Caenorhabditis elegans: one gene and its partners. The protein of the gene in region 1 purifies or fractionates together with the protein of each later gene. This does not show direct contact. Each region holds a gene or a part of one and is shown on either strand. Other genes may lie near its edges.

The links. Proteins that work in one complex are often made in the same cells at the same time.
Region 2: the proteins of Y41E3.22 (region 1) and W04C9.6 fractionate together in Caenorhabditis elegans (co-fractionation; one large-scale study listed by BioGRID). This does not show direct contact.
Region 3: the proteins of Y41E3.22 (region 1) and gpx-5 fractionate together in Caenorhabditis elegans (co-fractionation; one large-scale study listed by BioGRID). This does not show direct contact.

The regions. Positions count from the first base shown.
Region 1 is NC_003282.8:14,948,851-14,954,741, reverse strand, and holds Y41E3.22 (Peptidase), read right to left. Parts: upstream 4,033-5,891; 5' UTR 3,978-4,032; coding exon 3,855-3,977; intron 3,763-3,854; exon of another isoform or gene 3,742-3,762; intron 3,424-3,741; exon of another isoform or gene 3,402-3,423; intron 3,295-3,401; exon of another isoform or gene 3,274-3,294; intron 3,047-3,273; exon of another isoform or gene 3,026-3,046; intron 2,836-3,025; exon of another isoform or gene 2,801-2,835; intron 2,596-2,800; exon of another isoform or gene 2,575-2,595; intron 2,452-2,574; exon of another isoform or gene 2,428-2,451; intron 1,936-2,427; exon of another isoform or gene 1,915-1,935; intron 1,783-1,914; exon of another isoform or gene 1,762-1,782; intron 1,182-1,761; exon of another isoform or gene 1,161-1,181; intron 990-1,160; exon of another isoform or gene 969-989; intron 847-968; exon of another isoform or gene 825-846; intron 819-824; exon of another isoform or gene 818-818; coding exon 757-817; intron 707-756; coding exon 546-706; 3' UTR 516-545; downstream 1-515. Other genes in the region: Y41E3.1 (Sulfatase domain-containing protein), read left to right, coding at 26-320.
Region 2 is NC_003279.8:483,529-489,959, reverse strand, and holds W04C9.6 (MFS domain-containing protein), read left to right. Parts: upstream 1-1,567; 5' UTR 1,568-1,969; coding exon 1,970-2,002; intron 2,003-2,057; coding exon 2,058-2,166; intron 2,167-2,232; coding exon 2,233-2,373; intron 2,374-3,110; coding exon 3,111-3,493; intron 3,494-4,340; coding exon 4,341-4,579; intron 4,580-4,683; coding exon 4,684-4,807; intron 4,808-4,957; coding exon 4,958-5,053; intron 5,054-5,101; coding exon 5,102-5,172; intron 5,173-5,650; coding exon 5,651-5,834; 3' UTR 5,835-5,921; downstream 5,922-6,431. Other genes in the region: W04C9.2 (MICOS complex subunit MIC13), read right to left, coding at 189-260, 1,016-1,078, 1,127-1,192, 1,237-1,344; W04C9.9 (Zinc finger protein), read left to right, coding at 6,080-6,090.
Region 3 is NC_003284.9:9,583,022-9,586,854, reverse strand, and holds gpx-5 (Glutathione peroxidase), read right to left. Parts: upstream 2,188-3,833; 5' UTR 2,161-2,187; coding exon 2,103-2,160; intron 2,006-2,102; coding exon 1,932-2,005; intron 1,883-1,931; coding exon 1,798-1,882; intron 1,380-1,797; coding exon 1,135-1,379; intron 928-1,134; coding exon 718-927; 3' UTR 511-717; downstream 1-510.

The sequences.
Region 1 (5,891 bases):
GAAAATGCCAATTTCCAATTTCCAGACTTCTCCCCGACAAAGGCCTACTCGCCTACAAAAACGTGAAAGATGCCGATGGTTTTGTGCCTGACCTCTCAGGTTCCACGAAAGCCGCATTCGCTCATTATCAACTGAAGCTGCAGACAACTCCCGGAGAAGCGATCTACGAAGTTACCCTGTTCTACGATATTGTACGAGATGAGGTGAAGCTGGATTTTGGATCAATGAGCCACGTGAACAAGTTTGGCGACACTCCGCATTGTATTATCGACAAAAATTATTATCTCGCGACGTTTTGTGTGTGTTATGATCGTGTTTGATGATGCCTTATTTTCTAAATTATTTTATTTTTTTCCTTTTTTTTCCGTTTTTTTCCCTACAGGTTTCCGGTGTACTTATAACATAATACACTTCTCCTCACCCATTCTTGTACAATTTCTCGCTCTGTTCTTATACATTTCCCCCACAGATCAGGTGCTTTTCTTTGTATTTGCCTTTGATTGCCTATTCATTTTAAAACAAAAGATTTTTATTGGAAATTTCAACTACTTATTCGGCCACCAAACATGTGAATCAATTCTCTTTTCGAAATTCTGTCCGATTTGTTCATTAACTTTGACATTGTTCAAATCTGACCATTTCACAATTAATGGAGCAATTGTTGGCAGTGACACCGGATTTCCTGGCTTTACTGATTTTGCAGGAGCTGGAAATTTTTTGAAATTTGGATTTTAAGCTGGAGATGAAGCTTCTCACCTAGTAATGGATGTTGTACGAGAGCCACGTCGGAGCCGAACCAGTCTTTTGCGTAGTTGTTCTGAATAGGCACATAATTTGATAGGAAAATCGTAATAGAAATTTTAATATTAATTTGAGATCTGTTTGAAACAGGATTTTTTTTTCAAAAAAAGAAAAAAATTACTGTTTCAACTATCTTATTAATTTCCCCTATTTTAAAAGGAAAACAGTTCCTTTGATATTTATTCCGGAAAAGTGTGCGCCTTTAATAAGTACTGTAGGCATTAATTTCCCATGTTCGAGGAATTTTTCTTTTATTTTTCAACGTGCAAATGCGCTCCACGGTCAATTGAAAGCGTTCCGCCTCCCAATAGTTGGGTCTCGTTAGGTATCTATCGGCAGAACAGTAAATTAAACACTTTTCAATTTGTTTTGCCGATTTGTTGTCTTTTTTATATTGAGTACTAATTTCTGAAATTTTTGAAACAGGAATTTTTTTTTCAAAAATCGAAAAGAAACTACATGTTGTTTTAACATTTCGAAATGCATTTCTTTATAATTAACCAAATTTCAAAAGGAAAACAGTTAGGTTCCCTAAAAACATGCTATTGTTGCAATTAAAAAATTGCAAATGTGCTCCACAGCCATTTGAGAACGCCCCCGCCCCCAACAGTTGGGTCTCGATGGGTATTTGTAGGTACTACAGTAAATTCAAACATTTTCAATTAATTTTGTAAGATGTTTCATTGCTAAAATAAACATTATTTCTCACTCGAAATCGATAAAATAAACAAATTATTTAAACAAACATTATTCACTTTCGAACGTCCAAAATTTGAAAAAAATACAATGGAAAACTTACAGTGCATTTTTTTCCACTTCTACGACTTTAAAGGCGCGCGCATTTATACAAAATGGTCCCGTCAAATCAATGGGATGCGCGTGGCGAGACCATTGCGCGAAAATGCGCGCGCCTTTCGTAGAAGTTGGAAAATATGCACTGTATTAACCAAATCAAGAATTGATGATAATAGATGTGAGATAATAGAGAGATGAAAGTTTTTTGATTTTGACAACTTTTTGAAACAGGAAATTTTTTTTGGATTTTTTTCATTGAAAAAAAAATCCACTGTTTCAACATTGTGATTAATTTTCAAAGTTTGTAAAAGAAAACAGTATTATGGACTTTTTAACTTGTTGAATATATTGTTTCTGATTTTTGCCCTAAAATACAATTAATCCTCATAGAAATTTTTTTGAGTACTAATTTCTGAAATTTTTGAAACAGGATGTTTTTTTTTCAAAAATCGAAAAGAAACTACATATAGTTTTAACATTTCGAAATGCATTTCTTTATAATTTACCCAATTTCAAAAGAAAAACAGTTAGGTTCCCCAAAAACTTGCTATTATTGCAATTTAAAAATTGCAAATGTGCTCCACGGCCAATTAAAAACGCCCCCGTTATCAACAGTCGGGTCTCGATGTGTATGTATTTGGCGGTAAACCAGTGAATTCAAACATTTTTAATAAGTTTTGGAAGATGTTTCATTGCTTAAAAAAACATTATTTCTCACCCGAAAATGATAAAATAAAAATCACAAAGACATTTTTTAAGAAAAAAGATTTTTCACTTTCGAACGCCAAAAATTTGAAAAGAAAACAATGGAAAGCTTATTAACAAAATCGATGAATCAATGACTAGATGATAATAATTATTTGAAAGTTTTTTGATTTTGGCAGCTGTTTGAAACAGGAAATTTTTTCGGATTTTTTAAATCAAAAAATTACTGTTTCAAAACTGTGATTAATTCTCAAGGTTTGAAAAAGAAAACACTACGATTCGCGTTTCTTCAGGTCCAAAAATACGTGTGCCTTTAAAGAGTACTGTAGTCATTATAATATTTATTGTTGTTGCAGGAATTTTCAGTGTTTAAATTTGTGTGGAACTTGCATTTTGAAATCTCCGTAAAAAGTTATGTGTGGTGAGATCAACTTTTTTTTGCAAAAAAAAAATTCAGTTTCACTATTTCCATTAGTTGAAGAAGGATTTCTATTTTTTATTTATTATTATAGAACGGACGAAACCGAAAAAAAATTAGCAATTTGTAGCTTCACATGTACATGAAATATGTCTGAACAAGCGGTTTTTTTATTTCTTGTGGTTAAAATAAGAAAATACAAATTTTATTTCAAATTAATTTTTTTCTTTAAAAAATCAATTTTCAAATTTCTGGAAACATATATATTTTCCTGTCATTAATTTAAAATTTAATTTTTTTATATGAAATGTTGTGGCCAAACAATCACTATCTTTAGAAATTTTGCTGTCAATTTAAAAATGGTTTGAAATAGTCAAATTTTGTGAATGCAAATAGATTTCCCTCCGGAAATAAAATTAACTATCAGGACATCAAACTATTTCAAAAATAAACTAAATCAAACAGCTTCGTATTGTTAAAAATTCATTTTTCAATTAAAAAAAATTACTGTTTCATGAAAATTAGTTATTAATTTTAATTTTGTCTGAATTCAATCAATATGTCCATAAAATTCATACTAATTTTTTCAAACTGAAAAATTTATTTTTAGAAAAAAAAATAGAAAATACTTTTCCATCGAAGCTTACAATAACTTTTTGTCAACGATTTTTTTGATTTTCAAAATTGTCTCCATGAACAGAAAACTATATCGAAAAAAATTAGTGCGTGGTTAAAAACTTACTGAAACAGATAAAATGTATTGAGAATGTTATAATTTCAAAATTTTTTCAAAATTCAAAATTTGAAATACTGCAATTTTTTGGTGCATTCAGTGTTGTACTACACATATTCGCACTTCAAAATATTTGGAAAAAATTATTTTCAATAACTATTAAAAATTTGAAACATTAATCTATGTCTTTAAATGATAGCCAACAATTTTTTGAAAAACGGCTAAAAATTAAAAAAAAAAACTGTTTCAGATTATTAGTAAGTTCATTATGTTAAGAAAAATTACTCAATTGGTCTCAATTGGCCATTGAAGACTAAAAAATAATATTTCACAATGCCCGACATTTTCCGGGGCCCTCGACTTTTCTATTTTAAATCGGTAACGGAACCGATGCAAACTAACATTTTTAAATGGAATATCCACGTGTTTGAACACATACGGGGAGAATTCCAAGTCCGCCGCATTGTCTTGTGCAAAAATTGAATTGAGTTGAAATAGAGTCAACTGGAGAATCAGTAATTTCATATTTAGACACAAATATATGAAGATTATGAAACAGAAAAATAATATTTTTCTGAGAAATAACTTTTTTGTGTGATGTTGATCACAGGGGCAGAAACAGAAGTGAACAGTGTAATAAGATAAATGTGAAACAGGAAACCTGTTTAGGTATACATTTATCATTGGGCAACATGCTATGGGAAATTGGAATTATTTTGAAGATTTGGTCATCCCCTATTAGTAGTGCACAGCGAGTTAGTTAAAATACGTTGAAGAAAACTGAAAAGTGCTATTTAAAAAACTTTTCACAAAATGAATTTTCAAAAATGAAGATTTGAGAAGGTAAATAGAAAAGTCGAGGGTTTTCTTAACATAATGAAAAGTTTTCTTAACATAATGAACTTACTAATAATCTGAAACAGTTTTTTTTTAATTTTTAGCCGTTTTTCAAAAAATTGTTGGCTAACATTTAAAGACATAGATTAATGTTTCAAATTTTTAATAGTTATTGAAAATAATTTTTTCCAAATATTTTGAAGTGCGAATATGTGTAGTACAACACTGAATGCACCAAAAAATTGCAGTATTTCAAATTTTCAATTTCGAAAAAATTTTGAAATTATGACATTCTCAATACATTTTATCTGTTTCAGTAAGTTTTTAACCACGCACTAATTTTTTTCGATATAGTTTTCTGTTCGTGGACACAATTTGAAAATCAAAAAAATCGTTGACAAAAAGCTTCGATGGAAAAGTATTTTCTATTTTTTTTCTGTTTAAATATGAAAAAAAGTATTTAAAAAAAACCCGAATTGATAAGCATATATCTCTTGATGAGGACCGTTTCAAAAGCGGGTTTTGGGTGGAATCTGCTCACAGTAATTATGGCTTTCGATTTCGTTGAAAATTTGGGTCTCGGTGTACTTCCTGATGTCTACACGATCGAAAGTAATAATAACTGATAATAACCGATAAGTCGTGGTCCAAGATGGGATTTTGGCGGATTTTTTGTACGCATTCTACTTGTCAGCAAGTTATCAAATGAACCCTTAAAAAATTGATAAAACATTAGTTGAACATTTTGAAGCTGTGTGAAAAACAGTCTCTCAGCAAGCTGATAAACAGACAATCGTATCGGTTGGGCGAACGGTTGCGAGTTTGGAAGGTCCGACAAAATTATCATGTTCAGCAAGTATTAGTACATATGTTCCGTGATTTTCAAAACAATCCCGTTAACATATCCTGAGATATGCGAAGTCAAAGATGACACCCTTGAAAAAAAGTGTTCCCCAACTCTTATCAATATCTTTGCAGGGGAGCATGGTAAAAATTCAATTTAAATTTTTCCCTGTACACAATCACGAGATGAGTACGTATGTCAAATTCCAGCTCCATAGGAGCAATCCCAAATTTTGACAAAAATTCGAAACTTTAAGACCCCTGTATGGGTGGTCCGACGGCCGACTCATGACATACCACCCATAGTGGAGAGAACATCAGGATGGGTGGGTGATACGAAAAAAAACTCAAAAACTTTCATCGTACAGTTTTTTTTTTCGCGCGATTTTCTAAAAAACGTCAAGCTTGCAACATCCCCATTAAAAAAGTGTTCCCCAACTCTTATCAATATCTTTGCAGGGGGGCATGGTAAAAATTTAATTTAAATTTTTCCCTGTACACAATCACGAGATGTGAAAGAGCGGCAGAAACAAGCATTGTAAAGTTTCAATGTTGCTAACTTTTATCAAGATAATGAAACAGATCACGTTTGTTTCTGCAAAATTGAAAATTGGAGCATTGAAAATATGTTACAAAAGAAATTTAAAAAATGACTAATTTTTCAAAAGTGATAGTTAATATTTTCAGACCACCTACTTCGTATTTTTTTCAAATGCAAACATTTGCAGAAAGTATATCAAGTGTTCTCAGTTTCATTTC
Region 2 (6,431 bases), on another chromosome or scaffold:
TGATCAACGATGGGAACTGATAAAATAATATAATGCACCGTCCGTTTAAAGTCAAAAATTGCAAATTTTTTCATAGAGCACACACACAAATACTTCTAGAAAATGAGGAGGGAAAAAGTACATTCTAACGAAGGAATACACGAGGATTCGGGGGGAAAATCGATAAATCGATAATTTTTATGGGGAATTTATTTATTATTGATGAGTCGATTGGCCACTGTGTTCACGCTTGATGGGACGTTCTCGATTGTGGTGAATACCTGAAAAAAATTGAGTTTGAAATTGTTGGAAATGCGCTCCACTGCACTAGCTTGGGTCTCGCAGCGAAATCGCGTAAATTTGAAATTCCGGTGAAAAAAAACGGCAATTTCAGGTATTTTCTATGCTTTTTGAGTGGGAACTTGGAGAAAAGTGCGATAGAGCGCGTTTGCATTATTTTCGGATAATGTTTGAATTTCCTACAATATTTCTGGTCTCGCAGCGAAATCGTCGGAATTTTGCTAATGTCTGTAATTTTCTACGCGAAATTTTGAAAAAAAAGTGCCATGGAGTGTGCTTGCATTTTTTTTAAAAACAATTTCAGAATTTTCTCTGAATTTTGGACTAAAAATTGCGTTTTGCATTATCTTTCCTACAAAACCAGAAGTTTAAGACTTTTCGAGTCAGAAATTGGAAAAAAGTGCGATGGAGCGTACTTGCATTTGGTTAATTTTTGACGTGGAATTTTTTTTGAATTTCGCTTTTTGTGAAAAAAAGTGTTTTGCATTATTTTCAGCAATTTTCTCCAAAATTTGTGTCTTTTTGTCATATTTTTCCTAGTTTTAGGCACTTTTTTCGACGTTTAGCTCTGAAATTTGACTAAAAATGACTGAAAATTTATATTTTTCAATTTTTCAGATAGATTTTTGAAATTATGGAATTTCTTGAACGTTCGGCGCCAAATCTCCATTTTCCAGGACTTTTTTCCAACTTTCGCAGCAATTTTTCCGTGTTTCCTCTCAAAAATGCAGCCTACCGAGTCAACAGCACTGTTCCACTTTCCACCGGCCTTCAGCTGCACATCTTCGACTGTTGGGAGCTGAAAATAAGAAAAAAATTGCATTTTCAGAGAAAAAATCGATAAAACCTGCTCTGGAAAGACGACGGTGCCGGGAAGAATGTACTTTTTAAGCTTTTGATACAGTTCGCTGCCCTGAAAATGAAAATTTTCGTGGAAAAACGGGGGAAAACTAATACTTTAACATTGTTAGTCGACCAAATATCGTTATCGATTGACAGTTTGACGGCGCCGGCGACGAGTCCAACTTTAATTCCGAGTTTTGCAGTTTTCCACAAGAATCCCATGTTGCCGACCTGAAAATTCGAATATTTTGTGTGAAAAATCAGTTATTTTGCAACAAGACGTGAAAAATAAATAAAAAATCACAAATTCAAGAAGAAAAGTTCAGAAAAACTGAAAAAAAATCGGAAAAATAAAATGAACGTCGCGCGCACGAGAAATGCGCAAGCAAATCGAGACTCGCGTCAGAGCACGAGAAACGCGCCAGCCTCGTCTGCGTTTCTCTTCTCACAATGCTCTCTCTCACTGAAATAAGCTTATAAGCTTAAAAGTCTGCAAATCTTTAATTTGGCGAGGGATAATCGAAAATTTAAGCTCACAGATGCCTAGAAAATTAAATTTTAAGTAGATTATATTAAAATTTCATAAAAATAATGATAATTAACGGTATTTATTAAAGTTTTAGATTTCATCAAATTTTCAGACTATACTATAGTCTTGCAATTTTCAAAGAATTTTTCCTGCAAAAAACAAGTACAAAGCATTGATCAAATTAACACTATCAAGTTGACAGTGTCAACGTTTAATCCCCCAGCAGTATTTCCCTTAAATTGATCACTGCACTTTTCGTTATCACCACGAGCATCATAAATTTTTTTACTTATTTAAAATTCCGGTTTCTGATGCACCATGGTCAACTCGCCGGTTCCTGTCCGATTTCTGGTACTTTTTGAACTCAAAACCCCCGGAAAATTGAATTTTCACGATTTTTTTGCAGATTTTAATATGTGCCACACTGTGTTTGACCTCGATTCTTTCAAATATGAATACTTATAATTTTACAAAAATTTGTATGCAAGATGATAATAGTACTTCAACTTCAAAAGGTTTTTTTTTTAATTCGGTGGCCGAGTTTTTCCATTGGCGGCCGCCAAAATAGTTGATTTTTTCAGTGAACTATACCAAATCAGAGTCGAATTTTCTTCAATCGTGTGTGGCTATTGGAAGTCTTGCCGCCTCGATTCCATTTTCCATTTCTTTTCAACATTTGCCGCATAAACCTGTCTTCATTGTCGCCGGAATTATTTCGGGAGGTATGACGTCAATCGTGGCCGCGAAAAAAAAAAATATCGGTGGCCGAGTTTTCTGTAGTTTTTATTTGTTTCGAGAAAACTGACTAATTTCTATAGACTAATTTTATAAAAACTGTGCATTTTGTCGTCAGATCCAGTGCATGCGTATTTTCAAAGCTACAGTACCCCAAAAAGCATGCATCGAAAGCATACAAAATTTTTGAAATTGATCGTCAAATATGGTGTATTGCACAGTGGGCGTTGAATTTGACGCGCAAAACAATAATCTGATTTTTCGAAACAAAAACATGGTGCATGAAGCACAAAAAATTGTGAAAAATTCCGCGTAAGCACGTGGTGTCAGGCTGTCCCATCACGGTTTGATCTACAAAAAATGCGGGAATTATTTGCCCGAAAATATGTGACGTCAGCACGTTCTTAACCATACGAAATCAGTTGAGAACTCTGCGTCTCTTCTCCCGCATTTTTTGTAGATCTACGTAGATCAAGCCTAAATGAGACACTCTGATACCACGTGCGTAAAATACTGAATTAAGTATTTAAGAATCATATTTTACGCGCAAAATAAAACAGATTTCACGAATTTTTCTGAAATTAAAAAAAAATTATCGATTTTTCAAAAATTATTGACATTTATTGTCCGAGAGGAGTACACCAAGCATCATTAGAGCGCGTTTCCATTTTTTAAATTTTAAAATTGCGCGTCAAATATGATGTATTGCACTCAATTTTTCCAGTTTCAACAGCCCTTATCCCGTTGGCAAGTACCATTGGCTACGGATGGTTTGTGGCCGCCCGTATTTGTCAAGGAATGGCATTTTCAGCCACATTTCCCCTCGCTGGCTCAATTACAGCAAATTGGGCGACCCCATACGAGCACGGAGTATTCATTGGCCTATTAACCGGAAATACACAACTTTCAAATATATTTACAATGCCAGTTTCGGGATGGTTATGCTCTTCGTCTGGTGGATGGACGTCGGTTTACTATGTGCACGCCGGTGTATCGTTGGTCACTTTTTCGCTGTTTTTCCTATTTTTCAAGTGCTCGCCGAGTGAGCACAGTTGGGTTGGCGAGAAGGAATTGGAGAGGATTCGAGAAGGGAAATCGGGAAAGAAAGTGAGTGCAAACGCGCTCTACCGGACACAAATTATAACTAGATTTTGGAGCGGAAAAAAACCTGAAATTGTACCACGTATCATTTTTGAGAAAAACGCGCCCGAAGGACTACGGAAAGCCCAAGCCTAAGCGCACGTGGTGCCTGGCTGTGCTATTACGGTTTGATCTACCAAAAATGCGGGAATTTTTGCCCCAAAAAATGTGACGTCAGCACACTCTTAACCATGCGAAATCAGTAGAAAACTCTGCGGCTCTTCCCCCGCATTTTTTGTAGATCTACGTAGATCAAGCCGAAATGAGGCACTCTGACACCACGTGTAAGCCTAAGCCTAAGCCTAGGCCTACGCCTAAGCCTATGCCTTAGCCTATGCCTAAACCTAGGACTGAATTAGTGGGTTCCTCGGGGTACGCAATTTGTCGACAATTAAGACGTTCCCTCATTAGTATGAGAAAATCCCAAATTTTTCTAAAACTGCTAGCAAGGTAAATGGGTTTCATGTACGCAAATTTGCTTCAACTTCAAGATTTTTTACATGAGAGTAACCGAGTTTTCAAAACCTCGGCCACCACATCGCATTGCATGGCCTAACTTTTCACGGGCTTCGAATTTCCCCCATGTTTTCAAATGGAAGAGGTGGCCGTGAAAAAAGCGAACCTCGACCGGGGGTCGCGACCTGCGACAAACAGGAAAACTCAAAAAAAGTAGCGACAGTACGAAATTTCTTTGAGTTTTCCCGTTTGTCGCGAGTCGCGACCCCCGGTCGAGGTTAGCTTTATTCACGGCCACCTCTTCCATTTGAAAACATGGGGGGGGAAATTCGAAGCCCGTTACTTTTTCGTTTTGCAGGTATCCCGGCCAAAAAATCTTCCATTCCGTCATATTCTGACAAGTTTAAGCCTGTGGGCTTGTTGGATCGCATCGTTTGGAGATTTGATAACAGTTCAATTGGTATCCCAATTCAATCCGCAATATATGAAAAATTATTTGAACTATGACGTACTTTCGTCCGGTTTTTTGGCCGCCTTACCCATTATTTTTCAATTTTTTACGAAATTATCGTCGGGAATTATTAGTGATTATATTAAGTGAGTTTTTCGGGGGTTTTTCCTGGAAAAATAATTTTATAATTGTGAAAAAAATCAGTGGCCGAGTTTTTCCTCTCTACGGCCACCAAAAATCAATATTCCAGATTCATCTCAGAAACTCTGAAAACTAAAATTTTCAACACAATCGCTCTGGCCGTGGCCGCCGTTTTTTTCATCGTTCTAGCATTTATTCCACAGGAAAAACACTTGCTGGCTATTATTATAATGGTGAGTGGGTGGTGGTGGTGGCCTAGATAGGAAAACTCTTCCAGTGGGACAAGTGCGCTCAATTGATAATCCACGTTGAAAATAACCGATTATCAACATAGCGCACATACATCCATGGCCTAGTTTTCCTATTCTCTTCCATCATTCCAGATTTGCGCCGAAAGTGTGATGGGGTGCAATACGGCGGGATTCAACAAGTGTGCCACGTTGCACTCCCAGCAGTACGCCTATTTCGCAATGCAGCAGGTAAGGGGGTGGCCGAGAAAATTTTTAGGCCAACGATTTCTCTTCCAGATCATGAACATCTGGGCTTGCACGATATTCATCGAACCGTTTTTCGTCAATATGATTGTTACTGATGATACGTGAGTTTTTAGGGTATTCATGTAGGCACGCAGGCATGAGGAATGCAGGCAGGCATAGGTAAACTTAAAGGCAGGCATGTAGGTATATACGGTCTAGAAAAAAAAACACGGTAAGCGTAGGTCACTTTGGAGGCAGGCAGGAAGGCATAGGCATAGATAACCTATGTGAGCTGGACCGGCGTAGATTCCCTAAAAGACTATCGAAAAGGCAGATAGCATTAAAAGCAGGTAGATAGGCACAGGGTACATTGGGGTAGACGTAGATAGCATGTAGGCTGACCTAGGCCACCTTGAAAGCAGGCAGTTGACCTACATAGTTTGTAAGGTAGGCATAGGCCTAGAAGGCACTGACAAAAATGCAGGCAAACCAGCATAGGTCTCACTTGAAGGTAGTCAAGTAGGTAGGCAAAGGTCCCCTGCAAGGCAGACGTAGGCAGGCAGGCGTAGGTCCCCTAAAAGACAAGATTATTTTTTTCAGATTCACAGACTGGCGTAATTGTTTCCTGGCGCATGCGGGCTTACTTCTCTTCGTAAATACTATATTCTGCCTGTTTGCCGACGCCTCGCCAGCAAAATGGACCAGATTACAAGATGATGACGTGGCAATTGAGGAGGAAAAAGAAGAATATTCTGGAAGTATTGAAGATATTATTAAGTTGTAAAAGTTGTACACTACTGTATAAATTGTAAAAGTGTTCCGAAGATTTTCGGCGCCCCAATAAAATTGAATGGCTTCTAGCTGAAGCTTACCTCCTCCCTATGAAATTTATGAAAAAAAATTTGCGGACATTTTTCTATTATTATTATTACGTAAATGCCCCAATTTCTACCACAAATTCTTATAGTTTTGCAGTTTTTTGTAAAAAATTCGGAATTTTGTATTGGTGGGAGCAAGTGTCAGAGCTCCATGTGCTATTCGTGAGTTTTTTTAAAATCTTGTCTAGAAAATACTGTAATTAACATAGAAATAGGGCATTTGAAACATGGCCTAGGAAAAACTATTGGTGGCCGAGTTTTTTTCCGTAGCTGTGAAAAGTGAAAAACGAAAAACCTCGGCCACCATTCAACTTTTTGGAGCATTTTTACAATTTGGAAAATTTAAATTTTGGTGGAATTTTCTAGGCCACGCAGTAGAATTCTAGGCCACTTGACGAATTCTGGATTAAAAATTGATTATAATTTTGATTTTGCAAAAATTGAGAAAAAAAAACCAGAAAAATAATTTTTAATTTTAAAATTTACTATCAATTGAGTTGTTT
Region 3 (3,833 bases), on another chromosome or scaffold:
ACTCATACCTGTGAACTAATCACTTAGGGTGAACATAACAAATTATGGAACAAAAGGGTGAAAAATTCCTTTTTGTATTTGTATAATACCACACATAAAAAATAAGTGTAACTTTCATTTATATATTCATTCAAACTGGACGTGATATTTGTTTATTTCTTCAGGCGGATTTAAAAACTATTAACGTATTCTGGCTAAAAAATTTGCTTTTAAAAATATAAGGTTATGATAGACAGGTATATCAGGAACAGGAATAGGTATAGAGATATCTTTTTTATCTCGAATGTTTTTGCTGAACACATTCGTTTTTAATCATGCAATTTAAAACAGTATTCTGTTTGTATAACAAAGCTAGATTATCCAATTTTGCTTCCAGTGTCAGTTTATCCAATATATGCACTGTGTACTGAAAAAAATAGCAGAATAATTCAAATTTAGTAGTAAACTCTTTTCGATTAATGTATTTGTGCGAGCAATTTTTTTTTTAATTTTTCCATGAAAAGTATGATTAATGTGATATTCTACTTTATTTCGACGGAACGTAAATACAGGAACGGAGAAAAACCCGGAGGCAATTAAAACGTGGAGAAGCACAATATCTTATGATATTCGCTATACAAGAACAAAGCAACCCCTGATTGACATGTGGGTCGGTACTACGAAAGTATACACACACATTGGAATGAAATCAATGATTGTCAATTAGTTAATAACCAATTAATTAGCTGGCTCAGCAAGGAGTTGCTCAATGAATGGAGTGACAACATCTCCGTGGCTCCAAGCAGTTGGGTGGAAGCGGAATCTTGGTTGTCCATTTCTGTCAATAAGGAACTTCTCGAAGTTCCATGTGATATCAGAAGCACGAATTGGGTTGTACATCAATTCATCAGTCTTTCCAATTTTGTCAACAGTTTGTGGGCAAGACTCCTGCAATGTAAAATAAGATGAATGATTGCCGAATGGTCGAGAATGTAGAAGAGACCATTGGCAGTGTAAACTGAACACAATGCCATTCTTTTGTTGTGTTCAATTCCTACCCCCGAAACATATTATTTTGTTGTTTGACCTTGGTGTAAAGAAACGAATAAAGGAAATGACCCCCTGACTAGTTGGCGGTAATGGTCTAAAACTGACCTTGACAAACTCGTAGATTGGGTGTTGGTTGTCTCCGTTGGTGTCAAGCTTTCCATAAATGTGCAAGTTCTGGTGTGGCTTCCATCCGTTTCCAGGACGAACATACATTATTCCATTCATCAGTTCATGGTTCTCAGCTGGCTCTTGCAAATAGAATTGATTGCATGGGAAGGCAATGAGAGTAAATCCTTGGGATTGGTACTTCTCGATAAGGGGGTTGAAATCCGTGTATTGCTGGGTGTACGCTAGAATTGTTTCAATTTTCATCGTTGTTTATAAGGTTCAAATAGACATTGATAAACGACCGAATGGCGTCGAACGTGTTAAGCAATCAGCCATATGTTCCATCGGTAGAATTGTTTTGGGAAATGTTTCTATCTCTTTTTAACATTCGAAAATCGAAAAGAATCGTGATAATCTATATACTAAAAAATCCTGAGTATAAAAATGGGTGTGAGACAATTTTTTAATAAATTTTTTCTCTGAAAACATGTTCGTTATGATATAGTCTATCTGTTTCGGCCAAGTTTTGGAGAAAAGTGATATGGTTTGGGTTGCATCTTTTGCAAAAGCCGGAAATGGGATGAGATCTCATGAATCTTATAATCTTCTAAATCTTCTAAACAAAAAAAAGAGAGAGAGAGATATTATAAGACAACTCACCGCAAAAAGTAGCAACGTTGACCATGAGAAGCACCTGTCCACGGTATTGACTAAGGTCTGTGTATTCTCCTTGTAGTGTTTCTACCTAAACCAATTTATGGATAACAAAAGCTCCTTTCAAATTTCAAATTTACCTGGAAATCGTAAATAGATTGGTTTGTGTCTTTACATTGACTCCAGCGAGTCGTTTCGTCAACCATTTTCGGTCCTGGAAATGTTGATATTCGGTATTGGAAAATTGTATCCAGTAGTTCTATTTTCAAACTGCTGAGATAAAAAATTATGATGAGAAACTAGAAGCAAACCTGGCTGAGCAGCGACGAACGCAAAAAGAGCCGCAAATGTGAGCTGCCAAAGTGCCATTTTCGTATCTCTCTCGATTCTACAACTTCGAGACTGATGACTGCCACCTATCACCCATCCACTTTTATACCCATCTATACACCTTCTGTACAGTATCCATTAAGTGGAGAGTTGCTAGAGAAAAAGAGTAGGCGGAATATGGAAGTTTGTGGATGCGCAGAGATGTTGAGAAGAAGGGCGTGGTGGAGATGAAGAGAGAGAAAAGGAAAATATGACGGGAGAGTGATTGAACAAACATCTGAGATGTCTAGAGTTAGTATTTGAGCTTCCTGAAATGGATACTAGTACAGATAAATACCCAGAGAAATCGTTCCTGTTATTGTTATTTCCACCAATACTTCGGAACTGTTTTGCTTTCAGAAATTCCAAAGTAGTGAAAATATATAACAAACAAACAGAACTCAATACTTCTCAAAATCTGTTATTTGCTTTATCTTCTTCTCAATTTTTATTAGCTGTTTACTGTGAAAATTTCAAACCTAAGGAAAAGCAAATGGATCTATTTCAGTAAAATTTCACAGAAACGATTTGGAAAATAAATATCTATAGTTTTGTTTACCAACTGTTTTTTAATGCATTTTTCAAAGTTTGAAAGAAAAGAAAGATGAAGCAACAATTGATGGATGACTTATGGATATTTATCCCAAATCAATGTCAACATTAGCATTCACTCGGAATGACAAAAAATTCCGGAAAAAAGCGAGAATAATCGGGAATGATGGATAGTAATTGTAAAGAACTTATCGCTTTTTCTCTTTTTATTGTGATGACCAAATGTCCGATTTCACTTTCTTTTCCTGATCAATAATCTTTTTTTTTCTGATACATAAAAGATGAATAAGTATTGCTTTTATTGGATTGGTGGTGGCTTGTGAAGAGTTTAAAAACTTGGAACGTGTTTTAATGAATGAAACAAGAAAAAAGAACTCGATTAAACAATTTGGTTATTTCTCAATTATGTTTTGTTGAGATAGTTTGAATCACAGATTGATAGAGCTTCAATTCAAAATACTATTTACTATATGTATATATTTGTTTATTTATCTAGTTGTAAAGGTATAATCAAATCAAAGAGAAATACGATATAAATGATCTTGAGATAAAAAAGATAAAGTGACCAAATCTTGACCGAATGCAAATTACAAAAACATATATTTACGCTGGAAATTCAGAGCTCATACACTGCAATAGACAAAAATGATTTTGTGCACTTCTGGGTTTTTTGAGCCAACTTCTGTACAACAATTCGAGTTAATTAGAGATATGATTTTGAAAATATTTCAGATCGCACGCCAGCTCCACCAGTCTAGTTTGGCCGCTTTCAATGATGTATCATACATTCAACATTTGGCACACATGGCAACTGTAGTTCAAAGTTTTTGAGTCATCTGTGTTTTTTTCATAAAATTGAATGATCTATCACTGTGTTTCCATTCTCCATCCAGATGGTATTTAAAATCCTTGAACACTTCACAATTAAATTTTTGATATCCTGAAATTCGTCATAAGTTGTTTTTCTCATTTCCACATTGAATTTCTCAAATGTTTTGTTCCATTATTCTCTAATGTTTCTATTCCTCAAATTCAAATAAACCTTGGAGTGTCAATGCAAAGGGGTTAACAACTCGTCAACCCCCACCTCCCCTTTCATACTCTCGTCATAAAAAAACTGG